2 linked regions of the Drosophila melanogaster genome follow. Changing the gene in region 1 together with any one later gene gives a genetic interaction. Each region holds a gene or a part of one and is shown on either strand. Other genes may lie near its edges.

The links.
Region 2: of su(f) (region 1) and f, changing one suppresses a phenotype caused by changing the other (phenotypic suppression), as found in Drosophila melanogaster (3 studies listed by BioGRID).

Annotation. Positions count from the first base shown.
Region 1 is NC_004354.4:23,092,747-23,101,357, forward strand, and holds the start of su(f) (suppressor of forked), read left to right. Parts: upstream 1-4,662; 5' UTR 4,663-4,949; coding exon 4,950-4,985; intron 4,986-5,046; coding exon 5,047-5,369; intron 5,370-5,533; coding exon 5,534-5,809; intron 5,810-5,867; coding exon 5,868-6,267; intron 6,268-6,471; coding exon 6,472-6,663; intron 6,664-6,728; coding exon 6,729-7,142; intron 7,143-7,198; coding exon 7,199-7,306; intron 7,307-7,755; coding exon 7,756-8,056; intron 8,057-8,113; coding exon 8,114-8,361; 3' UTR 8,362-8,611. UniProt on the Drosophila melanogaster protein: Essential protein, may play a role in mRNA production or stability.
Region 2 is NC_004354.4:17,255,107-17,263,717, reverse strand, and holds the start of f (forked), read right to left. Parts: upstream 4,345-8,611; 5' UTR 4,244-4,344; coding exon 3,387-4,243; intron 1,079-3,386; coding exon 740-1,078; intron 1-739.

The sequences.
Region 1 (8,611 bases):
TGTTATCACGTCAGCTCGCGATTTATTTTTGTTTGTTTGACATCGGATTGGAGTTGAAAAAGTAACGAAAGGCTGAATTGTTGGGTTGCTAAACTGTATCTATTAATACCCTCAAAAAAATCATTTAAATATGTATAACCACTAAAATAATTTTGGTACACAAAAAATTGTGTTCGATTATAAATAAAAAACTTCATTTTAATCATATCATTAATAATAATGAATTTTGCAGTAAACAAAGTAGACTCTTTAGTACGGTTCCCCCCGAATGACCCGACTGAAAAAAACGATAATCACTAAATTACTGCTCCGTGAAAAAAAATTCAGGGTAGACAAATTAAATTGAAAAGATCCCGACGAACACAGCCAACTATATCTACTCTCACATTTAGTGCCCTCTTTTACTTCCACACCCACACCCAACAATCCAAACACACTTAGGCTTAGTGGGCGTGGTCCACCCTTGATAGAAAAATTACTAACGTTCATGTCGTTAACCATTGTAACTGCAAACACCAACTTTTGCATACACCAACACCTCTTTTACAAGCCAATTTTGTCCAATTTGGACATCTCGACTCACGATAAACAAGACAGAATAAACGAGACAGAACGAACTATGTCAAAAATCGTTAGTAGAGTTGTTGGATAGGTCCAGAGTTATACAATCTAGGAGCAAGAACTCGCAAGCCGTCGAAAGACACTATCTAACGATGTCCCAGGGATTATTTTAAAAAAATGCACCACATAATTATAAAGAAAATTCGTATCATAACCGGTTATACAAGATGGCTGAAAAGTAGCTTGAACGAATCGGTTTTTGGCCCGATAAACTAACAAACAAAAACAAGTTGAGTTAACCGACGGTAACAGGAAAAAATCAGAACAAATTTCTGATGACGATTATCATTATAATTTCCATAAAATGAGTTATAAACAATAGAGAATGCGATAGTCGAGTTCCCCAGCTATCGTTACTCAGGTGGAACGACATATTTCAATATGTCTTTTAGAATATCGGCAGAAATTGGAAACCAAAATAATAAAATGGAAACTAATTTAAAAATTATTCCAATGTAGGCGTGACAGTTTTGGGTGGTTTGTGGGCGGTAGAGTGTGCGTGCCAAAATTTTTTTTTGCGAATTGGTAGATATGTACAAGACTTATAAAACCATGAAACAAATTTTTTTAGTTTTGGGCGGTTTGTGGGCGTTAGAGTGGTAATGGTTAATCTCAACATTCTAGCTTTTATAGTTCCTGAAACTGAAGCTATAAACGCTTTATTCTACCTGTTACATACTTTCCAACGAATCAACTATACCCTTTTACTCTACAAGTATTTTTTATCTTTGTATTTTGTATTTCGATGTCGTAGAATTCAGAAATTTTTTGTATGCTCTTTTAATGCGGTATACATATACATATATATGTACAATATTCCTGATTAGGATCACTAGCCGAATTGATATGGTAAAGTCTGTCTGTCCGTAAGGGGGCTGTCACCTCGAAAACTTTAAAAGCTTTGAAGTTAAGATAATGTATGCATTTCTTTCCTTTTTTCTGATTTTCGAAACGTAACGTTTTAAACGTTTTAATCATTCGTTAATCAAACAGCAATTCATATAACAGAACGTTATATGAATTTTTGTTAAGTGTTCTAAATATTTTGGTAACACAGACAGGACGAAATGAATTTTCTATCTATTAAATAAATTGATATTTAAAGAAAGCAAATTAATTTAGAAATATATTGACAATTTCCAACTAATTTATCTCTGTTATGGAAAATTAGTTTAGGAAAAAAGTTAAAATAACAAAAGGAACCGCTATAGATTTTCTCCACTAGCGCCACTCAACTAAGGGGAGAACGAGGGAGAAACTTTGAAACTTGATTGTCATATCCATAAAATTGTTTAGAATAACAAGAGAGAATGCTATAGTCGAGTTGCCTGAATATCAGATACCCGTTAACCCAGATATTTTTCTGCGATACCAAAAGATGTTGGGGAATAAAATGAGAAAAAATTTCAACAATTTTCAAAAGTGGGGCGTGACCGGTTTGTCGGCTTAAGGGCGTCACAGTGGGTGTGGCAAACAGTTTTTTTTTGCACATCGATCGGAATTTACAAGACTAATAAAGATGTGAAAAAATATCAATATATTTTTCAAAAGAGTGCTTGTGGCATTTTTTCGTGGGCTTGTGGGCGTTGCAACATGGATCAACAAACTTGCGCTGCGTCTTTGTCTCTAGAATCTGCATGCTAAATCTCCGCCTTCCAGCTTTTATAGTTCCTGAGATCTCGACGTTCATACGGACAGACGGACATGGCTATATCGACTCGGCTATTGATCCGTTATACAGTCGGAAACGCTTCCTTCTGCGTGTTACATTCCTTTAAACGAATCTACGTTACTCTACGAGTAACGGGTATAATAACCAAATAAAAAAGTCTAAACATATTTAAAAAATTTGGTTGGCGTTCGAATGAGATGGTGGAGGTATTTTGGCAAAGCGATACAAAGTAGCAAAAAATCAAAAAATGCAATGAAAAATAATTATAACATTTCACAAAAGTGTGGGTGTGAACCTTTTGGGCGGTTTGCCGTCGTTAGGGTGTGCGAATATTTCAAAACTTGCCCACGTACCACTATGTGAAATTTTACCACTTTTTCTGCCCAAAATGAATAACTCCAGGACGTTGAAAGATATTCAGATTGGGTTACAATATATCCGTTCTGAAACCGCCCCTTATATTTGTTGTAGTTTGTAACTCTAGAACGGATAAAGATATTTAAATTTTTTTGCCATTATCTTTTATGATACCAAAAATTGTGGCCGTGGCACCGCCTCTTATATTTAATTAACTAATTTTGTATAGGTATTTCCCTAATTTCGTATGCTTTTTCTAGTCCAAGCAAAGAACAACTGATTTCGTGGTAGTGGTTGCATATTGAATTATTTTACAAAAAAGTAAACACAAACATAATAACAAATTAATGAATCAATTCACCAACAGGCATTTTTAACTCCCTTTTAGCTAAAATTACTCTGCATTTGAACAAGTAGGGTAAGGACCTAAAAACTATAATTTCTCCGAAAATCGCAAAGAATGCACTTTTTAATTACAACTATCTAAACAAGAATTAAATAAGCTACAAAATAAGGTATATTTCATGAATGAGTTTTGTTGCATTCGCTTTAAATCCCTTTTGAAAGTTAAGTTTTTATAACAAAAATATTTTAGTAAGACAACATACATTTTTACGGTATAAAGTCCCCTTAATACACGATTTTTTGATAGTTTTGATAGTCAAAAACACATAATACAAACCACATTGAATAAAACTAATTTTGCAGAATGAAAAAACGCTATGGCTCAAAAGATATATAAATATTTGTATCAAGGGAAAAACTTATCGTTGCAGACAAAATTTTTTTTGTGCTTGCAACACAGCTTAGAGAATGATTTCTTTGTTTATTTATTTCTGGTATGCAGGAATAAACATTGGCCAATATAACAGAGACAAAGCTAATGCATATGTGAGGGATACACACACACAGTGTTTGTTCTACTTTGAAACACAAAACCGCGTCAGTGTGACACACTTATTGCGCCTTAGCACACACACCCACAGAGGTATTAGGTAAGGGAGAGTGACCCAGGAACGGTAATAATTTCACTAACTTGTCGAAGTCTATAAACCGTAAATATACCGCTAGGACATCAACAACAGCTGTTGGCCTCTAGGTCTGCAATGATTGTGATGCTCTCCGGAAACACGCACATGTGTGTGTGTCTTGTCTACCTTGGCAGTTTAATAAATCGGTTTCAATGAATGATACTAATACTAGTTGCGAATTTAACTCGAATTATCTCTCGGCTAATAAATGCGCTTGGTTTCGTTTGATTGCCACTCCTGATTGTTTAGCGTTTGTTTTAAAACTTTTTTGACACTTACCCAATGTGACCGCATACTGGTACTGAATTAATATCGATAAATATACCAATCTATTTCTAGGGTTAGATTCTGGGTATTCCTTAAACTGTTAAATTGTGGGAATGTTGAACCCTCAACATGAAAAAGAAACAACAAAAGAAAAAATTAAATTTCAATAAAACATTTCTCTGTAAGTAAATTCTTAAAACAATTTAACACTACAGTTGCTGAAGAAAGGTGCGTTTCACTTTCTATTTCTTATAGCAAAAAATAAGTTCCGTTAACCTTGTTGAATTTTGTTATCACTTGGACTCGTGTCTAAAACATTTAAGAACAATCCATTGACTTAAATTATAATGTTTTCGTGTGTTTTCATAGTTATGTTTGTTCGAATACCACAATACCAAGAATACCTTTACCTCATATTATGTTATATTGTTTTAATGTATAATGTTATAGGGTAATCAGGAAAAATTCGTACCTAGTTACGCTACTAGGCATACAATTCCAGGCTTCCTAAAAATGCCTTTTTATTAAATATTACCTCTTTTACTTACTATTACATAGAACTTAAACGGTTCAAAGTATCTGTTAACAACCTTCACCTTAGCAACGTACAGAAAAATGTTTCAGTGGAAACAAGCTATAAAAAATATTGCTTCTGCTTGAATTCATTATTTACAGATTTAGTACCTTTAAAGTATGTTAAAACCATATATCTTTTTTATTTATAGTTTATAATCAGTGACCGCTGTACTACACATCCCAAATCTTGGGATTTTAATGGTAAGGCCCGCGATGTGATTGGCGATGACACTATCGCAGTTACATCCAATCAGTCGTCGATATCTAAGCAGCCGCATTGCAACTTCTAAAAGAATTCGGAAAAGCGGCATCCAAGCGTTGCTTTAGGTAATTGCGTAGCGAAAGTTCAACGGAAGAAAGGAACTTTCCCGGGCCAAGGAGCAGCGCAAGCAGGACTCAACGACAATTTGCAAAGACTATTAGCAATGTCTTCGGCCAGAGACCTTATCAAAGTCGACATAGTAAGTAAAACATTGGCTTTATTTGGATGGTAACAACATATTTTTACTTATCGATGACAAGGAATGGGGCATGGAGCGCCTGGTGCGAGCTCAGCAAGTGGTGGAGCTGCGGCCCTATGACATCGAGTCCTGGAGTGTCATGATCCGAGAGGCCCAAACGCGGCCAATCCACGAAGTACGCAGTCTTTACGAGTCGCTAGTTAATGTGTTTCCGACAACCGCTCGGTACTGGAAGCTATACATTGAGATGGAGATGCGCAGCCGGTACTATGAACGCGTGGAGAAACTTTTTCAACGCTGCCTAGTCAAGATTTTGAACATCGACCTCTGGAAGCTCTATCTTACCTACGTGAAGGAAACCAAGTCGGGTCTAAGTACTCACAAGTAACTGTTATACCTTATTTAAATAATTCACATAATTTGACATCTTAGAAACTATTATAATTTTAGTCAAAACTTGCAATGCAGCGAGCATATTGTTTTTTTTGATGCACAACATTTGTGTTATTCTGACACGCTTATTTTATTGGACTTATCTCTTTTCTCAGAGAAAAAATGGCCCAGGCTTATGATTTTGCACTGGAGAAAATCGGCATGGATCTACACTCGTTCAGCATCTGGCAGGATTACATATACTTTCTGCGGGGCGTTGAAGCAGTGGGCAACTATGCAGAGAACCAAAAGATCACAGCAGTGCGCCGCGTCTATCAAAAGGCTGTAGTCACACCTATCGTGGGCATCGAGCAGTTGTGGAAGGACTATATCGCATTCGAGCAAAACATAAACCCGATTATATCAGAGAAGATGAGTCTGGAGCGATCTAAGTGAGTGTTATACGCAGAGTTTGCTAAATGTTCTTTCTAAATTCCAACTTAAAACCAGGGATTACATGAACGCTCGTCGTGTTGCCAAAGAGTTGGAATACCACACAAAGGGTCTCAATCGCAATCTGCCAGCCGTCCCACCCACACTCACAAAAGAGGAGGTGAAGCAAGTGGAGCTGTGGAAGCGCTTTATCACGTATGAGAAGTCTAATCCCTTGCGCACTGAAGATACGGCCCTAGTAACCCGTCGTGTCATGTTCGCCACGGAGCAATGTTTGCTGGTGCTCACCCACCACCCGGCAGTGTGGCACCAGGCCTCCCAATTCCTGGACACCAGTGCTCGCGTGCTCACCGAAAAAGGCGTGCGTACTAGTGTTGAAAACATTTCACCTATTCTCTGCGTTCCTGTAGTGAATCAAATAGAGTGGGTTATGGCCTTTGCTTGGTGGTGGGCAAAGGTCAAAACCAAAAACGAATCAAATATAGTCTCTTGTTTGCTAAGAAGTGTCGCCCCTCGGGTAAAGGAGCACGCAGTGGCACAACACAGATGGCTTTCCGTGGCTTGCCCCGTTGCCCCTGGCCAGGCCGCACGCGTTTTACTCTTATAACTAAGTCGAACTTTTGTGTATTTACATGTTTAATTACTTATTAAAACATTGCAGGACGTCCAGGCGGCCAAGATTTTTGCGGACGAGTGTGCTAATATACTGGAACGGTCTATAAACGGCGTGCTAAACCGAAATGCGTTGCTATATTTTGCCTATGCGGACTTTGAAGAAGGACGGCTCAAGTACGAGAAGGTGCACACTATGTACAACAAGCTGTTACAGTTGCCAGACATTGATCCCACATTGGTAGGAACACACATATTGAATATGTTTCATCAAATATTTGATACCATCGAAATTTAATACTCCAGGTCTATGTTCAGTACATGAAGTTCGCCCGTCGTGCTGAGGGGATCAAGTCGGCCCGTAGCATATTTAAGAAAGCTCGGGAGGACGTAAGGTCGCGCTATCACATTTTCGTGGCCGCTGCTTTAATGGAGTATTATTGCTCCAAGGACAAAGAAATTGCGTTCCGCATCTTCGAGCTGGGATTGAAGCGTTTTGGTGGCAGTCCAGAGTACGTGATGTGCTACATTGACTACCTGTCCCATCTAAACGAGGACAATAATACGCGCGTCCTGTTTGAACGGGTACTTAGTTCAGGTGGTTTGTCGCCGCACAAGAGTGTTGAGGTCTGGAATCGCTTCCTCGAGTTCGAATCTAATATTGGGGATCTCTCCAGCATCGTTAAGGTCGAACGTCGCCGTAGTGCCGTTTTCGAAAACGTGCGTTCTTTTACTACTTTATTTTAGAAATATGTTATAATAATATTTGTTTAAAGCTTAAAGAGTATGAGGGCAAGGAGACCGCCCAGCTGGTTGACCGTTACAAATTTCTGGACCTTTACCCCTGCACCAGCACCGAGCTCAAGTCCATAGGATATGCTGAGGTGCGTAACGGAATTTATTTATTTATAAAAATATAAGAAGAAAGAAGAAACAAACTAGCATCCATAACCGCGAAATAATTGGATTCTATTGTTATACTACATCAAACGATAACATGTGATCGTGTAGTAATCGCCATAACAGTTTAATGTCTGAATACATTTTTTGAAAATTGATTTCATTCATAATTTTTCCCATTTGAGACAGTTTGTAGGAACTCATTGGAAAGGAAAGAGCAAGACTATTTTATTTTATATGTGCGAAGAAGAAAGAGATAGCATATAGACTTACTGAATTTTAAAAAACATTTTTTAGCACAGACTGTTTTAAAAGTGTTCATTACGACATTTTTCTTCTTATAGCCAATCAAACTTTTCACAATACTTTTTATAGGGTCCACAAAATGTTTGTCTTTAATTACTTGTCTTACTTTAATCACCTCGTTCTGCAGAATGTGGGCATTATACTGAACAAGGTGGGTGGTGGAGCTCAAAGCCAGAACACCGGAGAGGTCGAAACAGATAGCGAGGCAACGCCACCATTGCCACGTCCGGATTTCTCCCAGATGATTCCATTCAAGCCGCGTCCATGTGCTCATCCTGGTGCCCATCCACTTGCAGGTGGTGTATTTCCGCAGCCGCCAGCTCTGGCCGCTTTGTGCGCCACCCTGCCTCCACCGAACTCCTTCCGTGGACCGTTCGTCAGCGTAGAGCTACTATTCGACATTTTCATGCGTCTCAATCTTCCGGACTGTGAGTGTCCCTGATTGAAATTCTCTTCAATTAACATTGAACAATTATCTTACTCAGCTGCACCGCAACCGAATGGAGACAACGAATTGTCGCCTAAGATCTTCGATCTGGCCAAGTCGGTTCACTGGATCGTGGATACAAGTACGTATACGGGGGTGCAGCACAGTGTTACGGCCGTTCCACCGCGCCGGCGACGACTGCTGCCTGGGGGCGATGATAGTGACGACGAACTGCAGACCGCTGTGCCGCCCTCCCACGATATATATCGCCTGCGTCAGCTAAAGCGTTTCGCCAAGTCTAATTAAGAAACGTTAAAAAAAAACCGATTTTTACTTTTTTCTTTCAATTAATTTACAAGAAACAAGAAATCCCAATAAAGCAAGCCATATTAATTAGGTTTAGTTTTGTTGGAAGCTGCTTGGGAATTTGCCTTCATGCTTTGGCATCACCGGTTGTAGACATTTAGGGTTGCATTGAACGATAGCATTAAATTTGTAATATTTTTCTTAATGTAAGTACACACTAACCTTTGCATCCATTTAAACATTTTAAGTG
Region 2 (8,611 bases), 5.8 Mb from region 1:
ACTTTGTTGGATGGGCTAATAAGTTTTAATTAGTGCATTTAATGACTACTCCCAGCTTACCAGGTAGATAAATTCTCAAATCGACATCATCGTTGATTCAGTTTATGATAATCAGATCGTTACGAAGGCTTAATACACTTAAATGCTTCCATTTGAATGATTATTACAACTAGGCAAAATGGTGTACATAAATCGAACAATATAATACTTTTAATAATACGTTTGTACGGAATTGATACTTGGAAATCTATATAAACCTGCCAAATATCATTTTCGCTTAAGAAAAGAGTATTCTAAAATATTGATTACCAGTTCTTTAATTTTTTCAAAATATATATACATACATTGGTCGTTTTTCTCTCTTAATCTTGTTTTTAAAGCATTGCTATAATTACCACCATACGTTTCGAAATGGATTTTATAACCAAGTCCAAATTTAGTTAGATTTCCACAGCCACTAATTCACTTGTTTCAGCTCTTATACTAATCGAATCAGATAAGAAACCCCTAATGAGAATAATTGTCGCAAGTAAATGGAAAGAAACCGCATCGAATGGAAATGCAGACAGATGGGGGAAAAATAAAACACAAAGTGGAGCCATCGATCGTCGAGCGATTTCCCCGACACATAAAAACAATGAACGGCTGGTGCAAGAGCTTTCACCCCGCACTCAAATCGCGATGCAACTTTTGGTCATCATATACTATACTCCTTTGGGACAGTAACTCATCTACTTACCAAATATCCACGGATGCGGCGACCAGCAGTTGGACACAATCAAGGCAACCACGTGCGGCAGCATAGTGAAGGGCCAGAGCTCCTCCGTTGGGTCTTTCGCTGCCGGAAACGCTCCCCGGATGGTACATCTGGCCAACTTGGCCCATGCCGCCCAGATTCATCATACTGCCCACTCCGCCCAGGTAGGAATCCAGCTGGTGGGAGTGCATCCTTGTGCTCGGATTGATGCTGCTGCTGTGGCTTTGGTTGCTGTGGAGGAGCTTGTTGCTGTGCAGATTGTTTAGTTTGGTGTTGTGGCTTAGGTGCAGATTCGAATTGAGCGCATAATCGTTTATGGTTCTGCAGGATGGAAAGGAATAAGGAATAGAATAATTAACAATTTGTAAGAAAGTAGCTTAATGACTTATTAGCCAAATTATGTAGAGCAGAATGGTTCGTAAGGAACACAACCCTGCACAAAGACCTCAAACTAGCAACGGTATTTGACGAGATAAACCAGCACTCGAGCAGATACCATGACAGGCTGGAGCGCGACAGAAATCGGCTGGCCAGCGCTCTTAACAGATCTCGCCCACCAAGGAGGCTCAATAGAAGGCAACCGAGGGATCTCATTTCCCGATCTCCTTTGACAAGGGTCAGCAGAGAAAAAATATTGCATACTTTTCAGCTTGCTTTGTATCTCCAATTGCAGTCTACTTTTCTGCACCCCAAACAAATGACTTAAGACACAAACTTACACACTAAGCTAAGGACTTAAGACACGAACTTGCCAAGAAAGTGCAACACAATTTTAAAACTAAATATTTAATATATTATTGAAATTCATTTAACGCCTTCCTTTTTACTAATATCTAGGAACACTAAATAATATATAAGTTTACCTTTGTTGCGAAGCAAATTAGTTACAAATTTCCTTAAAATTCACTTTTATTTCATTTTTCTCTTTACTAATAGCTAATTGTTTTTTTTTTACTCTTGTTGCAAATCTAGTAGCATGTTCAATATAGCCCACGAAAATTGCTCATTGTTATTAAATTGTTTGCTTGACAGCCATTTAGGCACAACTTTTAATTAATTAATTGGCCGGGGGAAGTGATGGTTATTAATTTTGATGGCATCTTTGTGCGCATCTTGGGCTGCACTTGGATTCACTGAGTGCCCTTTTCCGAATCACTAAACCAGGTCAAGTCTGCTGCTGACTCACCTGATTGCCGTTTCCGCGGCACAAATAAACAATAACAATCATAATAATAATGCTAAGAGAAACAATACACACGGCGACACATTAATTGAAAGCTGAGAAGCAGCGCCGCCAGCATTAAAATGCGAAAATACCGGGCATTTGTGGATGGATCTCGTTTGTCTTTGCTCGTTTGTCGCTGCTTTCCTCTTGTGGCAACAAAAAGAAACAGAAAGCCGCGAAGACGACACTTTCTTCCAGTTTATTGCATCAACGCTGGCATCGCCGAACACACCAAATGGCAAATGGAAAATGGAAGCGGGCCGGTAGCAGGTGTCAACAAAACAGGGCAGGTGCCACCGAGCCCATGAAACCCACGAAAACCACAAAGCCAACATAGCCAACAAAGCTAACAATCCGACAAAACTCACAAACATTTAGCTGAGAAAGAAAAAAGTGAAATAAGCTATTTGGCAATAGCATTGCAGGCCAGTTGGTCAACTGAAGTGGCAAAGGGGGTTAAGAAAATTATGATCTTTAAGGGTGTTAAGAGGTGCCCTCTGTTTTTTGGCTTCATTTGATCGCTGGCTCGTGATATAACTCAAGTAAACAGAAAGTAAATACTTATTTTAAAGGTGAAACAACTAAATTTTACATTTCCAATTGGCTGTTCGCATTAGACTTATTGATTCGTGCAGCTATTTAAAAAATGTATTTGCTCAATACTCCTATATACAAAATATTTTTGGCTAAGATACTAATGAGCATGGCAAACGCATCCATGCGGTTAATACTGTAATTCAAAAAGCAAAATTATAAACCTTTCAAGGCAAGCTGCTTTAAGTGAGTATTAAACAATACAAATAGTTTAATAATCTACAGACTTTAGAGTTTGTTTCTATTAACCTTTCGTTCATAGCATCAAAACAAAAACATAAATAGTTAAGTAAATATGTATGGGAGAGGAAGGGGATGGTCAAAGTTCGGAAAAAGTGAAAGAACAGAGAACGGAAGAAAATAATCATTTAAGAAATTATACTCATGAAGATCTGTGGGTTTTTATGAAATGGGAAAGCCGGAGAGTTTGTGGGAAATTTGCAAGCTGCTTTCGATCCAAAAGTTCGCACATAATCCGATGGGTAAAAACTATAAATTATATACCCATCCCGGATTTTGTCGTGGCAACAGACTCATTAAATAATAATACGAGTTTCCAAAGATTTTTTAAAGGTTGCACTGATATCAAATATTTCGGGTAGCACTTAAAAAAATATAGCACTAAATATAGAACCATAGTCAATAAATTGATATTTCTTGCACTCCCATATTATTGTAGAATTTGCACTTGTTTGTAGTCTTTATCGACATATTACTGTAACTAATTGATTTTGGCGCTCGTCTATTTTTGCAGCTAATTTGTGTTCTGGTTTGCCGTTTTTGTTTATTTTTTCTAGCGATTTCTTTTACCTCAATTTGATGGCAATATCGCGGCACTTGACGCATGGCACCTGGCCGGATTCCTTGTCGGGCACTGCTGCACTGCCTCCTTTTTCCGCTGGAGCTATTGTGGCATATTGGGCCTCCTCCTTTTCCGGCTGCTCATCTGCCTTCTCATCCGCCTCCGTTTCGCTTGCGAAATCCACCACCAACTCTTCGTTGGATTCCCGGTTGGATGTAACCACTTGCCTCTTGCTAAAATAGCCCACATGTTGGTCCACTCCCGCATTGGCATCCAGCAGGATGCGCTCGTAGGCGGCGCTCTCGTTTTCCGAGAGGGCAAAGCGCTGCTCGAAAACCCGCACGGGCAGCGAACTTTTCCTTAGCACCTCCATCCGCTTGTGCCGCAGCTCGATGGAGAAGATCAAGCGGACGCGCACCAATCGCCGGAGACCCTGATGCGTTGACCTGGCGCGCTGTAACCTCCTGCGCTGCTGTCTCAGCTCCAATTTCTCCAGACCCTTCAGCGATTTGGGATCGACCAGACCGTGATTGTAATCCTCCACTGCTGTCAAATCCAAAGCGGATCGCGTGCGACGCCAGGGCACCAAGTCGAAGTGAGCACCCGCCCAGGGATGGAAGTTCACCTGGCTGACGTTGGTGCTGCGATCCTGCTTGAGGATCCAATCCGATTGCTGCTCCTTGGTCACACGAACGTGATCATTCCGTGCCGCTGCCTGCGGCTTGTGGCGTTTATATCGCGGCACCAGTGTCGCCTCCAACATCCGAGCATCCAGACCGTAATCGCGACGCAGCTGCTCCAGCTCCCTGCTGCTGGCCGTAAACTGAGCACCGTTCCACACGATCACCGGCGCACAACTGGCCATTGGATTCGTTTCGTGGCTTGTTCCTCTTCTGGTTTTGGTTCTATATACGTATTTGTACGTTCGTTCCCACCCCGAAAATTCGTTCCCCCAAATTCCCGAACTAGTTGACTTTATGTCACTGATTGCGTTCTGTTTCTGATTTTCTGAAAACCCGCTCGTTTTCCGGTTTCCGCTCGGCAATGTCGCGTTTGTCGCGTCCGCGCTCCGTGACGCCGGCGACGCAAATGTTCGCTGGCCAAAAAAGATACAACTTCAAAATCCGCAGTCGGATTCCTATGCAAAAACGTTGCGCCAGCTGCGCTGCCAGCCAAACGCCACTCATGATTAAGAGTTTTCTGTTGCTGCTCTTCTCTGTTATTGTTATTGTTATTGTTGATGTAAATGTTTTTGTTATTGTAATTGTGATTATGGGCTGTTTTGTTGGAGCTGCTGGTGTTGTTGGTGCCGCTTTGTTTGCCGATATGCCACTGCTGCCGCAGCTACACGCAGCTACAAATATTGCAAATGCCCATTTAATATCTACTTAAATTTTTTTTTATTAATTTTAACACACTTAACTATAATGAATACTCTTAATAATAGTAATAATTGTAATTTTGCAAATAAAAAAAAATTAAATACAATATTTACAATCTAAATGACCATATTTTTCAAAACAAAATGAAAACAAATTTACTTTTAAAAAACATTTTACCTTTTTAAATAGGAACTTGAGTGACTTCTGCGTCATTTAATACCTATTTCTTTAGTTATTTATTTCAAGTGTGACAGGATCGACAACTTGTAAAACTGTTCAATTATTCACTAACGGTCTACTTCTAAAACTTAGATTTATTGTATGACTTTACTGCTTTTTATTTGCAAGTTTATTTTCGTATTTAAACATTTTAATTTTTATCTTACTTTTCACTCATTTTAAATCACTTTCTAGCAGGTTCGGACTGAAGCTATTAAAGGTGATTTACATCCACTTTGCCCGGACTCAGGCTAGCATTTTCTCTCTGTGCACGTTCAACGTTTGCTCAATATTGAAGAGTCGCGGGCTTAGCTGCCCCTCTGATTGTATTATTTATTTATTTTTCACGCTCACTGCCATGTCAACTCTGCTCTGGGGCAACCCTCTGACGGCGTCGACGTCGACGTCGCTTCACTCGGCTGAGCACGCGTCAGCAACAACAGAAACAACAACACTGGCATGCATAGTAATATTAACTAAAGCCCATAGTTGTTGGTATTATCACCGCTGTTGCTGGCCATTCTGCAATTCGAGTTCACAATTCTATTCTCGGCTAATTGACGGCATCGGGCCATTGGCATTGTATTGGCCAAATTAACCAACAATTGCGACAGTGAAATAGGCCCTTTTATAGTCCACATATATAGTACAAATATAGGTTCATAAAACAATACTTGAAACGAATTAATCATATCTCTTAACTATAATTTCACGTTGATCTATTGGAAAATATTTTTATTATTTATCTGTTCATGAATTGTTGAAGATGTTATAATATATTTTATCCTATAACTATAAAAAGAATTATTTAAAATTACGTTTGTAAATATTTTAAATATGTAAATATTTTTTGTAAAACATATTTGTTATAGTACATAATAGTCTTTATAATTATTTCAGCTACTTAAGGCCAATTTCATCATCGTTTTCCATTTGCCTTGATCGAAGTTTAGCTAATTTCTATAGAAAATATGCAATTAAGTTGCAAAATATCCGCCTAGTGTTTATAGTTCTCATTGCCTTCTAAATCATTTGCCACACGAAGTGCCTATTGTACTCGAGGCATGCCAAATATCAATTATGCTATATACTTTATAGTATGTAACTATATAGAGTTTGTGCCCCTAGAACGGGCTCAACTCAGGCGTGGCGAATGTAAATGAATTGGGGCTGGCTTGCAGCTTCTTGAGTGGCAATTGAGCAACTCCACCTGCGCGCTTTTCCTCCGTACTTTTCCACCCGGCTTTTCCAGCTGTGTGACTCATGAAAAGCGTGTGCAGATGGCGTAAAGAGTTGCCTCGATTTCTGGTTCAATGGCGCTCAGGCTGCGGGTGTCATACGAATATTACGTGACATTCAGCTGCTGAAAAATTAAAAACTTGTAGTTAAAGTGCTTAGCCTCAACCTCGAACTCAAACTCTGCGTAATATCTTTCCCTCTGGGCCATGTGACCCAAAAAGAGCAATGAAAATGAAAACGCCAGAGATGAGAGCCATTAGGTGGCTTAGAAAGGCCGCCATTGAGTCGTAGTTATAATGCAAATATAACAGAGCACATTATAATGGAGGTCCATCCATACCATCCATCCGCATTTCACGTATTTGTCGCTTGCCATTCAAATTCAAATTCACATCTGGCCGAAGGCTGTCCAAATCGCATCCATTCAGTCCATCAAAGTGATGTGACATACATCCCAAGTCATATCGATAATATATTTATTGTATTTACATTGCCTGTGGGCATTCGGCGCTAAAATTGCGCAACGAGTGTGTATTTCGATATGTGTTTTAATTTGTAATTACCATAAATATAATAAAGCCAGAACCGTTATAATTTGTTTGCTGTAAATCTATCTCTATAGAAATTGTTAAGATTTCGCTAATCTCCAGAGGAAATTAAATAATATTGTTTTACAGATTTCTCCCAGGACAAAAGATTACATTATTATATTACACTATAATTTAAGCAGATGTAAAAGTCACACATCTAACAGGAAGTACTTATTCATAGCTTATTGTCCTAAAATCAAAAGAAGTCCTTGAAAATATTTCCTAAGAAAATTTCTATTTAATGTACTATTAATTTTTCTGACCCACTCTTAGCTTTTTTTTAACGGCTGGTGGACTATTAATCTGCGAAGTATTCGAAGTACGAAAATTAACAATTTGAAAACAGCTGAAATCATCAGCCAACAAATGCTTCAGTGATTTTGAAGGGTAAAGCCATAAAAAGGAAAATAATTTCTTTTGGGCGCGCTGGAAAACAGTTTGTTCGGTGGGTAACTGTGTGCCCCACTCGGCGGATAGGAAATAAACATAAAACATTAAGCAGCACCACTCGCAGCAACAAAAAAATTTTAATAGCACTGTGGTGGGGCAATAAAAACGAAAGAAGAAAATAAAACTGCTATACGGATTTACGAATATTTGGGTAATTGCGCAATACGGAAAATCGGGGGAATACATAAAAACTGGGTTAATTTTAAATGAATTTGACTTAATTTAAAATAAATATATACAATACATTTCAAGTTATATATATTTTATATTATAACAATTATATACAAATATTTGTAGACTTATGGTGCTTAGATTTCATTTACTTCCGATATTCGAACTACTGCGACCACATCTTGCATACTTTTACTTTTCGCTCCATTGTTTTATTTCTCGGTATTCGCCAATCAAAAGCAGAACAGTCTACAAGACTTTGATCGAACGGTAAACGCTTCGTTTTCATCCATCCGTCGAAGCGGTTTAGATCATCAAAGATCGAAGATCTCACATGGCACCTAAATATATCTTGCCCCATCCGTCAATTCAAATTCAAATTTTCGAACGGCCGAGAATCGAAACACGGCAAGTTTTCACTTTCGTGTGTGTGAAAATGGAAGAGGAAAAGTAGAAAGCAAAAGTCAATGTGCTAAACTGTCTAAAAAGAATTCTTCGGCATCTTCGGCGATCGGTGTTTAAAAGGTCGCACGAAAAAACAGGTTCGTTTAAATAAATCAAAGAAATTTGTATGATATAAATTCATTCTAGTTAAGAATGTTTTAAAAAGTTATTACCAAATTTAAGCTAGTTGTAAAATAATTATGAGCAATCTTTGATTTAAATATTTCTTTTGTGAGTTTAAGTTGCGCTCACATTTTTCGATAGCCCAAAAAAGTTCTCTGTGTACCTCTCTCTTGCTATCAAAATATGCCCGTCTCTTTCTGCGAATCTCCCGTGTTATTCATATGCAAATCTGAGTTTATTCAATCACTCATTTATGCGATTCAAATGAAGTTCGTCCGTGAAAGTAAGCCATGGCAAAAGTCCGAGAAACAAACATTTGTCCAACAATCAGCCGTCAACGAATGTTCAAAATGTTCAAACAAGACGAGACATCAGCGTCCGTCCGCTCACCTGAAGACTCACCCAAGTTGTGACAGGTCGTGGTCCATTCCATTACGCCTCCCGCCTGCCCTCCTGCCACGCCCCCTAACACCTGGCCGCCCCCTTGTAAACAAAAACTAAATGAAATCCCAAAGAGGAGAAGCTCGGTGAATGCCCTGCCTTCGAGTGGAGACTGAAAATGAGTCGACAGTCTGGCAAACATGAATGCAAATATGAATATGCAGAATACCCTTC